Linked DNA regions of Drosophila melanogaster. Changing the gene in region 2 together with the main gene of any one other region gives a genetic interaction. Each region holds a gene or a part of one and is shown on either strand. Other genes may lie near its edges.

The links. Genes that interact genetically often act in the same process or in processes that back each other up.
Region 1: of Rab9 (region 2) and Nf1, changing one suppresses a phenotype caused by changing the other (phenotypic suppression), as found in Drosophila melanogaster (one study listed by BioGRID).

Annotation. Positions count from the first base shown.
Region 1 is NT_033777.3:25,981,256-25,987,125, forward strand, and holds the start of Nf1 (neurofibromin 1), read left to right. Parts: upstream 1-1,757; 5' UTR 1,758-2,036; coding exon 2,037-2,093; intron 2,094-2,336; coding exon 2,337-2,480; intron 2,481-2,579; coding exon 2,580-2,964; intron 2,965-3,019; coding exon 3,020-3,161; intron 3,162-3,217; coding exon 3,218-3,811; intron 3,812-3,872; coding exon 3,873-4,194; intron 4,195-4,256; coding exon 4,257-4,809; intron 4,810-4,863; coding exon 4,864-5,401; intron 5,402-5,456; coding exon 5,457-5,870. Other genes in the region: fid (fire dancer), read left to right, coding at 1-42.
Region 2 is NT_033779.5:19,429,333-19,437,283, forward strand, and holds Rab9 (Rab9), read left to right. Parts: upstream 1-3,241; 5' UTR 3,242-3,539; coding exon 3,540-3,731; intron 3,732-5,334; coding exon 5,335-5,529; intron 5,530-5,590; coding exon 5,591-5,974; 3' UTR 5,975-6,509; downstream 6,510-7,951. Other genes in the region: CG13085 (uncharacterized protein), read left to right, coding at 76-798; RtcB RNA ligase, read left to right, coding at 1,439-2,731, 2,792-3,019; CG10237 (uncharacterized protein), read right to left, coding at 6,814-7,301, 7,478-7,631, 7,700-7,794.

The DNA.
Region 1 (5,870 bases), on a different chromosome or scaffold from region 2:
TGGTGTGTGGTGGCCGAGAAGGTTCAGGTGTGGACCATCTAAGCACCCAACTCTCAAACGGGGATTCGAAACGAAACTTAAGTTTATTTGCTATTACTGGGACCGAAGCATGTATACCAAATATTTAAAGGATATACGTTAAATTACTTTGAATTACATTTTTTTATACGCATCTAATACATTTTAAGTTGCTCTACAAAAACACTTGAATATCTTTTTAGGACATTCAAAATCCAAGCAGCTTTTTTGATTTTTTCAAGGCGTACCCGTTTACCCGTTTGAATCCCTGATCTAAAACAAATGCCCATTTCCTAGCTGTAGTCTCTGATCTGATGCCCCCAAAGGAATTGTTAAATTTAGTCTATTACTCTAGTCGGCTGGCGGTGCGGGGCGGGGAAGGCCCGTCCTGCTATCCAGCACTAATTTATTGTTAGCAGGCCTGCTCAAGGACGCGAACGCAGGATTGCACTGCATTGAAATCCAATTTCAAAGGAAAACTTAGCTGTAAGAACGAAACCAATCGAATCGAATGCGATAACGAAACAACGCAAGCTAAATACAAATCTTACTAGTTATACGAGCATATTCTATTTACAACGATCATCTGTTTGTATCTTGCGCTATCTGCAGACTAAGTTTCAAGCACTTTATGCTATAATTTCGAAGCGAATAATCATCAAACGTCCATTGCAGCCAACATATACCACTTATACAAGAGAAAATCAAGATACCAGTTAAGCAGCTAGAACAAAGTAATATAGCAACTATGTACGTGCATGTATACACTCCTTAAAACTGCAAAGTTAATAGAACCCTCTAAAAATATCAATAACTGCATTTAAATCTATGAGAAAACCGTACATATATCGAATGCAAAGTAAAATCAAAAATATATACACAAAACAGTTTAAGAAACTCTTTCCGCAAGCTCACAATTTTCCACATATATAAATTTTTCACCTTTTTAAAGCACTTTTTTATTTACTTTAATTGATTGGATAAAGTACCCAACTCACTTCCCAAAAACGGCCAATAAGACGATTGTAACATAAGCCTATGCCTAAACTCAAATTTTTGTCAGCTTAAGAAGGGTTATTTGAAAAATAACGCAAACATTTTCAATAAAACCAAATATATACATATATATACCTATATGCGACTGTACATGTGTTTTTTAGCTAGCTAAACTAACTTTATACCGTAAAATAATAGAACAATTGAATAAATATTAACTAACGTTGGACGCAACACTAAATTACAACAGATAGAACTCGATTTGAACCTATTACTGCTCGAAATGCTGAAACATTATAAACATTAAGTATTGCTGGAAAATATGTATAATTTGCACAGAGCCAAACAGGCACACTCAAACGGAATTAACTCAAAACCCAAGCTACAAAACCATCTGAAATATTTAATATTGATAATTTGTAATGCATTAACAACAACATTAAATAAACTAATAATACTTACTGAACTGAATCTGTTTTAAAAATCATTTATATTTCTAATTGGAACACTTAGACCATATAAAATAATAGCATCAAATGAGATAGAACGAAATGAAGGCCAAATATTTTTGGAATTTTTAAACGCTCCTGTGAGCGCGCGCATTTACTTGTGGCTTATGGTCACCCTAATGAATTCAGTACTAGTTGGTCTGATGCCATCACTATTTGAAAATAAGCGATATATCGATAGGATGTAATTGTTATCACTTATAAAAGCGTTTCGGTATTGTGAAAGAAATGGAAGGCGGTACACACACAATATAAACATCCAAATAACAGCCTGTAAGCCCTTAGAAAATTCCCATAAAAAAAGAAACAGTGCCCGTTTTGTAAAGCCAAACCATCCAAATTGTTGGAAGAGAAGGAAGTGAACGTCTCAGGAACTGAAAAAAACACCAAGGATAACGAACAAAGATGCCACTCAACCAATTGCCACTCCCCAAGCTCAACGAAAAGCTGCCCTATTTAGTTGCTGAAATGCAGTAAAAAACGCATAAACAACTGTTAAAACACCACAACAAGATGACCCAGAAGCCAGGCGAGTGGGCTAGCGCCCTTTTGGCACGTTTCGAGGATCAGGCAAGTGTTTTCCAATCGCTTTTCCGCAGTTGCGTTTTCGCAAGCGAAAAAATGTACCTGCTGCTCTGCCTCTTCCTCCCCCACACATGCTCACAGCGACCTTGCGAGTGTGCGTGCCTCACCCGCTCTGTCAGTGTGAGCTCTCAATCAAATGCGTGGGAGAGCGAGATAGCAACAATAACAAAAACACCGGTTCCCGCATGAATGAAGTGGAATTGAGCAATCAATGGTTTACTTTTTCAGCTGCCAAACAGAATCGGTGCCTATGGCACGCAGGCCAGGATGAGCCAGGACCAATTGGTGGCCTGTCTGATCCACATATCGCGCTACCGCTTCTCCCTTGTCATATCCGGTCTCACCAAGATGCTGCAGAGGGTCAATGAGGCGGTAAGTACTCCATTCTCTATTGTTAACCCTTAAACTATGTTGCCTTATTTTATGGGGCTAGGATACGATTAAATTACTTAAACAAAAATTTCATTGCAGGCCCTTCAAAATCGCCATGAGCCAGAGCGTTGCTACTTTGAGTCGCTGGTCATCATACTGACCACTCTGGAACGCTGTCTGACCAACCAGACCAAGGACACAGCACGTTTTGAAGAGGCCATGAATGTGAAGCTTCTGCTGCGCGAGATCTCCCAGTTTGTCGACGTCCAGAGCGACAGCAATCCGAATGCCGCCCAGCTCAAGGCCCTGGCATCCAAGGTGCTCTTTGCCTTGTCCCAGAATCACTTCTCGGCGGTGTTCAATCGCATATCGGCCAGGATTCAAGAGCTGACATCCTGTTCCGAGGAAAACCCGGACTACAACGACATAGAATTAATTCAACACATCGATATGGATATGATAAAGCTAACCAAGCTGCTACAAGGTAAACTAACTTTTTTAATATTTCGGAAAGGTTAAACAACGTTTTACGTTTCCAGAAACCATCACAAAGTTTCGATCGAAGCGTGCTCCACCTTTGATCTTGCTTTACTCGCTGGAGAAGGCTATTTGGAACTGGATCGAGTACCATCCACAAGAGTTCCAGGACTTGCAACGAGGAACCAATCGAGATATATCAACGTAAGAGGAATTACAAGCGTTTTTAAAGTCACATTAATTGATCCTGTTTCGTTTAGCTGCTGGGAACCCCTGATGGACTTTGTAGAGTACTTTAAAACCGAAAACAAGAAAAGCAAGACTCTTGTTTGGCCGCTTCAAATGCTCTTGCTGATATTGAATCCCTCTTGCCTTGAGGCTGTTGTTAACGAACTTCAGCAGTCGGAGAAAGAGAAGGAAAAGGACAAGGAAAAGGTTGCCTCGAAGTCAGCGCAATCCACGTCCCGGGACAAGGACTTCTCGGCCAAGCAGTTCATCGAGAGTATCAAGAGAGGCTTGGGCCAGCACTCACCATCCAAACAGGTGACCGAATCTGCGGCAATTGCCTGTGTAAAGCTGTGCAAAGCATCCACCTACATCAACAACACCGACTCCAATAATGTGGTCTTCAAGTTGGTGCAATTCTTTATCAACGATCTCAAGGCACTGCTCTTTAATCCAGCAAAGCCCTTTTCGCGCGGTCAGGGGTACAACTTCGCTGATATCGAGCTGATGATTGACTGCTGGGTGTCTTGTTTCCGGATTAATCCTCACAACATCGAGGCTCTAAAGGTTTGCCTGAATTTGTCCTCGCCGCAGGCTTACCATTTTGTAATTGTGTGCTCTCTGCTAAGGTAATTTACTTGGGTAGCTATATAAAACTCTTGACTTTTACATGTATACTTTCCATTATAGGTTGGCTCACATATACGTTGACTTCCGTTTGCAGAACAAGAACCCCTTTCGAATAGTAAACCAACCGAGATTGTCTTGGTGGCCGCAAACGGATGTGGTTCACTACCGTTCTGCTGAGCTACGAGCTTTGTTTACGGATACGCTCAACAAGGCCACCCAGGGTTATATAGCCCATACGCCACTGCGCTACATAACCTCCCTGACGCTCAAATCTAAAGATACCCAGAAAGGTTTAACCCGCGCTGAAGAGGGTCCCGCCCACAAAATGCTATTACTGCTACTCGTACGGCTAATTCATGCAGATCCCACGCTTTTGTTGAATGTGAGTTATTTGATAATTTGATCGATAATAGTCTCATATTTAACAATTGTTTTGTAATATAGACCCAAGGAAAAGTGGCACATGAAGTGCAGAGCTCCACATTGGAGCTCATCAACGGCTTAGTTAGTTTGGTGCATCAAACTACCATGCCCGATGTGGCACAAGAGGCTATGGAGGCGCTGCTTGCTCTGCACGCCCCGGAGAAAATAGAGGTTTGGAATCCAGAGGCTCCGATCAATACGTTCTGGGACGTTAGCTCCCAAGTACTGTTTTCAATCTCGCAAAAGCTCATTCAACACCAAATTGCCAATTACACTGATGTCTTAAAGTGGCTACGCGAGATCCTCATCTGTCGGAATACTTTTCTTCAGCGACACAAGGATTATGCACATGTGGGAAGTCAGATTGCCATTTGCAAGCAGGCTCACATTAAGATGGAAGTTGTTTTCTTCATGTACCTGTGGAGTGTTGATTTAGATGCGGTGCTGACATCGCTATCGTGTTTTGGACTACTATGCGAGGAGGCTGAGATTTGCTGCAGTTCTGATGAATTGACAGTCGGATTTATTATGCCGAATTACCACATTTACCAGGAGCTGGCTCAGTTGTCCACATGTGAGTTTGGTAAATTCATCATACATATTTTTATTAATAATAATTTCGTTTTAGCTGCAACGGACTCTCGCATTTGCTTTTTTGACAACACGCACGGCAATGTGCTGAGCCGTCTTACACTTCAAAAGCGCATAATGACCCTATTGCGCAAGATCGAGCACTGTGTTCATGGTGTTCAGCCCGCCTGGGAGGAAACCTTCCGCAACTGGGAAGTATCCAGCAAGGTTTTGCAAACGTACCCCAAATGTAAAGGAGAAGATGGCCAAGCGGAGGTTTTCCATCGTGGCATGGGCAAGCGGCGAGCGAGTCACCAAAGCTCAGAGCACGATTTGGAGGAACAAATTAATGAATGGGCCAATATGACATGGTTTCTATTAGCCTTGGGTGGCGTCTGCCTTCATAAACGTAGCAGCAGTCGTCAAATGCTGCTGCAGCAATCACAGAACAATGCTTCTTTGGGATCACTTGCTCAAAACTCTCTTTACTCAAGCTCCACAAGTTCTGGACATGGCTCTCTGCATCCTAGCACGGTTTCACTATCCACTCTTCCCCCAGCACCGCCACAAGATGTCAGCTATTGTCCTGTAACACAGTAAGGTTTTATTTATTTTAACATGTCCCATATATAACCTATAACTTTAATTTAGATTCGTGGGCCAACTATTGCGCCTGTTAGTTTGCAGCAACGAAAAAATTGGACTTAATATTCAGAAAAATGTGAAGGAACTGGTGGGCGAGGAGATGTCCACCCAACTGTATCCTATACTCTTCGACCAGGTTAGAGCCATCGTGGAGAAGTTCTTCGATCAGCAAGGTCAGGTGAACGTCAATGTGACCGACATCAACACGCAGTTTATCGAGCACACCATCTACATAATGAAATCAATTCTGGATCCCAAAGCCAACAAGGATCCCAACAACGATCAACCCTCGCCATCGGAACATTTAGGTGTTACAAGCATCGAAGGCATGATGCTAGGAATAGTGCGCTACGTTCGCCACCTGGATATGACTGTTTATGCCATTCGAATCAAGACAAAATTGTGCCAGCTTGTGGAAGT
Region 2 (7,951 bases):
TTAAGGCTAGTGCCTGCACAAATAAATGTGATTACTACTATTCATTAAAGGTTGCGGTTTTTTTTTTAGTGCAAAATGGACTTACTGCAACTGAACGACGATTGTTTGGATATTATATTTGGTTATTTGAGTTTGGAGGACCTAGCGCCGCTCTACAATGAAATTCCCTGTTTTGGAGGCGCCATCGAGAGACAGCTGCATCGATTCAGGGACTTGAGGTTCAGCATGAGAGAGCCGCCTGCTCTCCACGAAGATTTGCTCATTAAGTTGGGTGGCCAACTGAACAGCCTGCACATCAACGTGGGCTACTCCACCAAGGACCAGGACGTACTCCGGTACCTGAGGCCACTGTGCCAAGGGGCCGCCGAGAGCCGCAGGATTCGGGCTCTGAAGTTGGACCATGCCAAGTGGTCGGCGGAGATAGTGGGCACTGTGGGCCAGGTGGTTCCATCGCTGCTATTTCTGGACATGCGTCACTGCGATGTGCGAGACTACCAGATAGCACAGCTCTTGCAATCGGCAGATAAGCTAAAGGCACTCGCTCTACTCCACATTGACAATCAGACGGGTGATTCCTATCTGCAGCCGCAACTACTCAACAGATTGCCATCGCTGAAGCTCATTCACCTAACCACCTTGGGTTCCATGGGCTTTAACCCCGAAAACCTGACACGGCTGTGCCCGAACCTGAGCTTCCTCGTCAGTGACCTAATCAAGGGAGATTTTAAGATATATGGCCCGCCTGCCTACATACAGAACTACTACAAGTGCTATAATGAGTACTTCAAGACCGCCTGAGTACATGTGGCACAGTTTGCAGAGATCTCAGTGGAATTGGATTCTATATTTGATATGAACTCACTCTTTTTGTAAATATTTTTGTCTTTTACTATGCAAGAGATTGCAATTGCATTTAAAATACACACTCAAACAAATGTACAACCGAAAAGCTCTTCTTTTCGACAGAATTCAATTTCTCGTTTGCACTAATTTGAGTTAATAAAAGTAGATAATTGAATACAATTTGACTTAAGTTTTAAATTTCCGTTAGAGAGAATACTGCTTAGTTTAAACTGCTTGCTTTCGCACAGATAAGCTGGGCAACATACTTTGCTTAATGCAAGCATACCACCACATAAATATGTTAGCAGGATAACTTAATAACACAGCGCTGTTCAATTTGTTAGCATTTTTAATTTAATTTAAGCAAATAAATTTACCTTAATACGATATTTGACAATTGGTTTGCAAGTGTAAAGGCGGTATTTTTCGTATCGCTTTAAGTCTGGTATTTTACACATCGCGCACTGCGATAGTATCGCTGACAAATATTTTGTGCCGGCATGCAATTCAGAAATAAAAAACTGGTGAAATAGCTCATAAATATAAATAGCTTAAGAAGCGATTGGCTGGCAAAGAGAACGACCGGAGAGTCAGGATGGTGGTGCGTCCGTACAACGATGAGCTCCGGTACCTGGAGAAAGTGAGCGACCACTGCTGGCGCATCAAGAAGGGCTTCCAGCCAAATATGAATGTGGAGGGGTGTTTCTATGTGAACAGCCGGCTGGAGCGCCTGATGCTGGAGGAGCTGAAGAACTCCTGTCGCCCGGGCGCAGTGGGTGGCTTCCTGCCTGGCGTCAAGCAGATAGCCAATGTGGCCGCGTTGCCGGGCATCGTGGGCAGGTCCATTGGACTGCCCGACATTCATTCCGGCTACGGATTTGCCATCGGGAACATGGCTGCTTTCGACATGAACGATCCGCTGTCCGTTGTAAGTCCCGGCGGCGTGGGTTTCGACATCAACTGTGGCGTGCGTCTGCTGCGCACGAATCTGTACGAGAAGGATGTGCAGCCGGTGAAGGAGCAACTGGCGCAGTCCCTGTTCGATCACATACCCGTGGGTGTGGGCTCCAAGGGCATCATACCCATGAATGCCCGCGATCTGGAGGAGGCCCTCGAAATGGGCATGGACTGGTCGCTGCGCGAGGGATACGTGTGGGCGGAGGACAAGGAGCATTGCGAGGAGTACGGCCGCATGCTGAACGCCGATCCCGCCAAGGTGAGCATGCGGGCCAAGAAGCGAGGGCTGCCCCAGCTGGGCACTCTGGGTGCGGGCAATCACTACGCCGAGATCCAGGTGGTGGACGAAATCTACGACAAGTGGAGCGCCTCCAAGATGGGCATCGAGGAGAAGGGCCAGGTGGTGGTGATGATTCACTCGGGCAGTCGTGGCTTCGGCCACCAGGTCGCTACCGACGCCCTGGTCCAGATGGAGAAGGCCATGAAGCGGGACAAGATCGAGACCAATGACCGGCAGCTGGCCTGCGCCAGGATCAATTCGGTGGAGGGACAGGACTACTTGAAGGCCATGGCGGCGGCTGCGAACTTTGCCTGGGTGAATCGCAGCTCCATGACATTCCTCACCCGTCAAGCGTTTGCCAAGATGTTTAACACCACACCCGATGATCTCGACATGCACGTTATCTATGACGTTTCGCACAATATTGCCAAGGTGGAGAACCACATGGTGGACGGCAAGGAGCGGAAGCTGTTGGTTCACCGGAAGGGCTCCACGCGCGCCTTCCCGCCACACCATCCCCTGATCCCAGTGGACTATCAGCTTACCGGGCAGCCAGTCCTCGTCGGTGGAACCATGGGCACTTGCAGTTACGTGCTAACTGGAACGGAGCAGGGCATGCAGGAGACGTTCGGTAGCACTTGCCACGGAGCGGTGAGTAACCAAATCCCGTTTCTTCCTGTTCGCCAGACTAAAACCTCCTTGAATCTTTAGGGTCGTGCACTATCTCGAGCCAAATCCCGGCGCAATCTGGACTACAAGGATGTGCTGGACAAGCTGGACCAGTTGGGCATCGCCATACGCGTGGCCTCGCCCAAACTGGTCATGGAGGAGGCACCCGAATCTTACAAGGACGTGACCGATGTGGTCGACACCTGTCACGCAGCTGGCATCAGCAAAAAGTGCATCAAGATGCGCCCAATTGCAGTTATCAAGGGCTAAGTCTAATTTATTATTGTGATTAAGTCAATAAACATTTGGTCCGATGGCTGTCAATTTAGTTAATAACGAATTAAAATTTTTATAGAATTTGTTAAGAGGTTTTCGTTTTTTTATTCAAAGTTAACAGTTATGTAGTTAAGCTGTTAAGTGAGCTGTGGTCACCCCACACTGGCGCTCTGTTAACGGCGAGCTTAGCATTATGTTAGGCCAAAGGCCCGGTCTGTTAGTTGTCAGCTGACTGCCAATCCAATTGGACCTGCTGCACGGCGCGAATTTTGATTGAGCTGCCCATTTCGATTTATTTAAACGAAAAAAAACGAATTATATTCGTTGTTAACAACACGCCGTGTGCAATTCTGTATGTGCGCCTGCTAATCGCTCGGGAATCGTGAGTGCAATTAAGCCGAAAACTCACTGCAGCCGGCAGTCAACCAAGCTGCGCAGTAGGAAAAGGCCAAAGAAATCTAGCCACTGCTGTTGCCGCCGGACTTAACTGCAAGAACAAACAAACGCAGGCACTATGACGAACATGCGGCCGCCGCAGAAGTCCAAGCTGCTGAAGGTCGTCATACTGGGCGACGGAGGCGTTGGCAAGTCCGCCCTGCTCACCCGATTCGTCGCCAATCGCTACGAGGAGAACAACTTCCACACCATCGGCGTGGAGTTCATGAACAAGGACATAGTCGTCGACGGGGAGCGCTACACTCTGCAGGTGAAGACTACGACTATGACTATTATGCAATCCAACTACTGACTAGGAGTAATAGTAATACCGATATTGCGGCAAGGCCGTAGAACTTTTGCAATTCTTATGGTGAATGCAACAGTTGGCCAAGCGTATTTCCTTCAAGTGTATTTCACTTAAACACTAACCCCCTCCCCCCCCCCCCAAACGGATCTATCCCACCGTCGCATGGTTGTGCCCGATCCACCGGCATTTTGTTGATGCAAACACTTAGAAACTACACAACGATTAAGCCTTGTTTTCCATTCCCTTACATTCGCGGCACAGTGGAACTTTAGTAAGTTAAACAGGGTAAAAACAGAAGTGCTAACAAATTAAACCATTTAAACAAGGAAACATTGACTATACATTCCTTGAACCATTTGAAACACTCGTATACCAGAGAAAAGTATTATCTTACTGACACGTTTTTGAGTCTTGCATTTGAAATTAAGAAAAAAATATGTGCAATCAATTAATTACGTAGTTTTTTCCACTGTAGCTGTACCTACATTATGGGGGTATCTGTTCCATCTGCCCCATCCCCACTCACACACACACATATATGAACATTAGATTTCTACTCAATTAGCGTTGAGAACGGAATGGCATTGCAGAAACAAAAAACTGAAATAATAACAATAATGACAGTTTCGCCATTCGGCAAACAAGTGAGAGACTTTGTTTCATCCGCCGACGCGGTTTCCCCCGCTCCATCTCATCCGCATCGCAGTTGTTTTCCATTTTCCATTCGGACTGTTGTCTTCAAAAGTATCGAACTAAATGATTTTCACAGTTCGCCAAGCTCGGAAAACTCATGAATATGCAGCGCGTCTCAGTGAGTAAGCAAAATGCAGCCAAGGTGTCGCAAATCGGAATAATAATTCTAATTGGACCAGCAGATACATTATAAAGTAGGAAGTAGCGAATGTGGACTGATTGATATACATATGACTAATCCGACGGGAATCTCGCATAGTTTGCTGGTTCACAGTTCGCTGGGCACAGGAAGAACTTGGCCAAAAGCGGATTTCCCAGTGCTGCAAAAAATCGTGGAATCACTGGGGTGTTTTTTGCACTACCTATATACATATGTACATATGTATGGAGTCACTTAGTTACCATGGGCAGTACTCACACCCTAAAAGGGTTATTCCACCCATGTGTTTGGAGGCCAAAGGTGTTTATATTAGATAAAGAAGTTTAAAGTATCCATTGTTAGAGCTAAAAGTATAACCTCATGTTCGAAAGTATAAAATAAATAAAAGTATAAAATAAATATTTAAAGTATGTATGCTACTCGAAAATTCAGATTCAACGAACTATTTCCTGAGCTAATTGCTTATCACCACCTCGTTATCAGTTCAAAACTAAATATTTAATTAACACACAAGAAATGACAGTAAATGTGTTGATATAAGTGAGTCAGTCAGGCATGCAAACACTCCATAGGTTTTCAAACGGCGAAAGTGTTTGTTTCTCAGTGAGTTTGCTTCTAATCGAATGCAAATTTCAATTGAGCGCCATTTGAATCGCCAATTCAATCAAACTTAATTGATGCATTGCCTTAATTGGAATTTCCCCAAACTAGATATGGGACACCGCTGGCCAGGAGCGATTCCGGGCTCTACGCACCCCGTTCTACAGAGGATCGGACATCTGTCTGCTCTGCTACGCACTCGACGACCGGGACAGCTTGAAGGGATTGGGTGTGTGGCGCAATGAGTTCCTCAACTACGCAGATGTGGACCAGGACAAGTTTCCATTCATCGTGGTGGGAAATAAGGTGAGCCATGCTTGCAGAACGTTCATCTTGAGTTTAAAAGGTTAATTGCTTCCAATTGTAGAACGACATTCCGGCGCAGAAGCGACAGGTGAGCTCCGACGCAGTGCAGCAGTGGTGCGCGGAGCAGAAGGTGGCCTGCCACATCGAGACGTCATCGAAGGCGGCCACCAATGTGACGGATGCGTTCGTCCTTGGCCTTCGCCAGTGGCGGCACATGGAGTGCGTGGCCGAGGCGGAACTGCGCCAGCACGGCGACACCATTGACCTCACCCGCCCCATTCGCCTGGTGCAGCGGCGCATCTGTTGCACAGGCGGAGGAGGCGGTGGCGGCGGCGTAGGGCAGGACGCGGATGGCGATGATGCCGCCATGCACAGTCCGGGCAAGAAAGTGTTCGGCCAGAAGCGCAACGCCAGCAAGGCGCCAGCCACCAATTATCGGCTATGAGCAGACAGACAGGAGCTGTCAGGAAACTTACGCTTAATTTAACCACTCACCCCGCCGGGTTGACCTTCAGATTCAATGCATTCCAGTCCGCGGAGGGGCAGGAGCTTCAGACCGAAAGGCAACCCATCCACCCAATGTTGATGGCTGTAGAGAGTGGATTGCCTCGTTGTGGTTGATATTCTAAGGGAACTATGCTTCACAGCGAGCTAACTATGAGCTAGCTTCTATGTCAAGAATAGGATCTCCATTTTTACTTGCTATGCTTTAATATTATCTTACTAAGTTATTATTTTGTTATGTTACCGTATCGAATATATGCGGTATGAAATACTCTTATAACAATCGTATATAAGCTTTACCATAACCAAGTGTCTTGCTTGAGGAAAGCAAGCTTTAGGTGTCTAATGTACTACGCATAAGGCAATCAGAATGTAATCACTACATTTTTTCCTTATATATTGCATAATTTCGGAGTGCCTTAAGTGTGTTTATCTGATGTGAAAGCTGGGAACAAACGAATAAATATGAATACCGCACGTGTTTGTTTACAAAGTATGTTTATATTTTAACAATTGGTTTAATGTACAATAGTAAAATGATATAAATACGCTTACCCCGGATTAAAATAATATGCATGTAGGTATAACACTTCTTCTGGCTGCGATCGACACTCCGATCCTGGTTAAGACTAAGGCAAACTCTAGGCGCTACTCACTAACAGGACAAGCGTATGGTAGATCGAGTGCTTAACTATAACGCTCCACGTGGGCTTAATGTGAAGACGTGTGGAAACGAGTGGAGTTGATTATCACGAGCAGCACCAGGCCGGTGGCCACAGATCACTTCTTCTTGTAGCCGTACGAGTTGATGGTGTCGAACTCGGTGTCGCACTTGAGCAGCAGCTGGTACCACTGGTCGCTGTCGATGCGGCTGGCCTCCCGGAATCCTCCGTAGGCGGCTGGCAGGCACTTGGGCGACATGTATTTGTGCAGGGACTCGCGATCGGTGCCATGGAAGATGATCCTGCTGCGCAGCTTCTCCTTGAGGAAGGGCTTGAACAGGGCAAAGACCACCTGGAAAATCTTCGGCTGGTTCACGATGTGAATGGCCTTGATCCGGAGCGGCACCGAGTCCTGAAGCCAGTCCACAATGCGCTTGGCGAACGGAGGCGTAAACTGCCACGTTTGCTGGAGACTGAGGCCATCCATGTCGAAGATCACAACGGCTCCGCAGATCTGTGTTTCTGGCTCCAGCATGGCCGCCTCCAGGAAGAGCACAGCTCCCTTGAACACCTCATCGAGGGTGACCTGCTTGTGCTTCCAGCGCTCTGTAATCGGGGATTACGAAAGATTAATACAGGATCTGCTCAATGCTTGGAGCAACTATGAAACTTCAAATGATAGGAAAACCTGCATCTTAACTAAAATAAACTTTACTCTGAAGATCGAGATCTTTGCACTCAAAAGCTAATATATTGAAGTATCCTTCTTTCAGTGTACTTACTGCCCAGTTCGAGGACCAAAATGCGACGACCCAGTTGATCTCGGTTGGGGAAGACGGTAAGGATGTTGTGCTTGAAGATGTTGGCCTCGTTCGATGGCTTCAGGTCGGTGTACACATCCGCGTGCTTCACCTTGAAGGCGTAGTACCGCTTAATCTGTTCCATATTCAGAATATATACAATTAGTAACACAGCTGGAAACTGGGTTGCCACACTAGACTCACCAGATCACGGGCACTTTCCGGGTAATACTTGCAGGGCCGCAGGTATCTGATCAGCCACTCCTCGTTTCCCTTGGGGTACAGCAAGTCCGTCTCCGCTGGAAGCATATCGCAAATATTAATCGACCTCACCTTCAATAGTCTTAATTCTAAAAAGTCACTAAACCACTGGCATTAAGTTTATCCAGCAATTAAAAGGCAATCGTAATTTGTAACAATAGTTACGAATCTTATGCAACGAAATCCTCTCGAGGG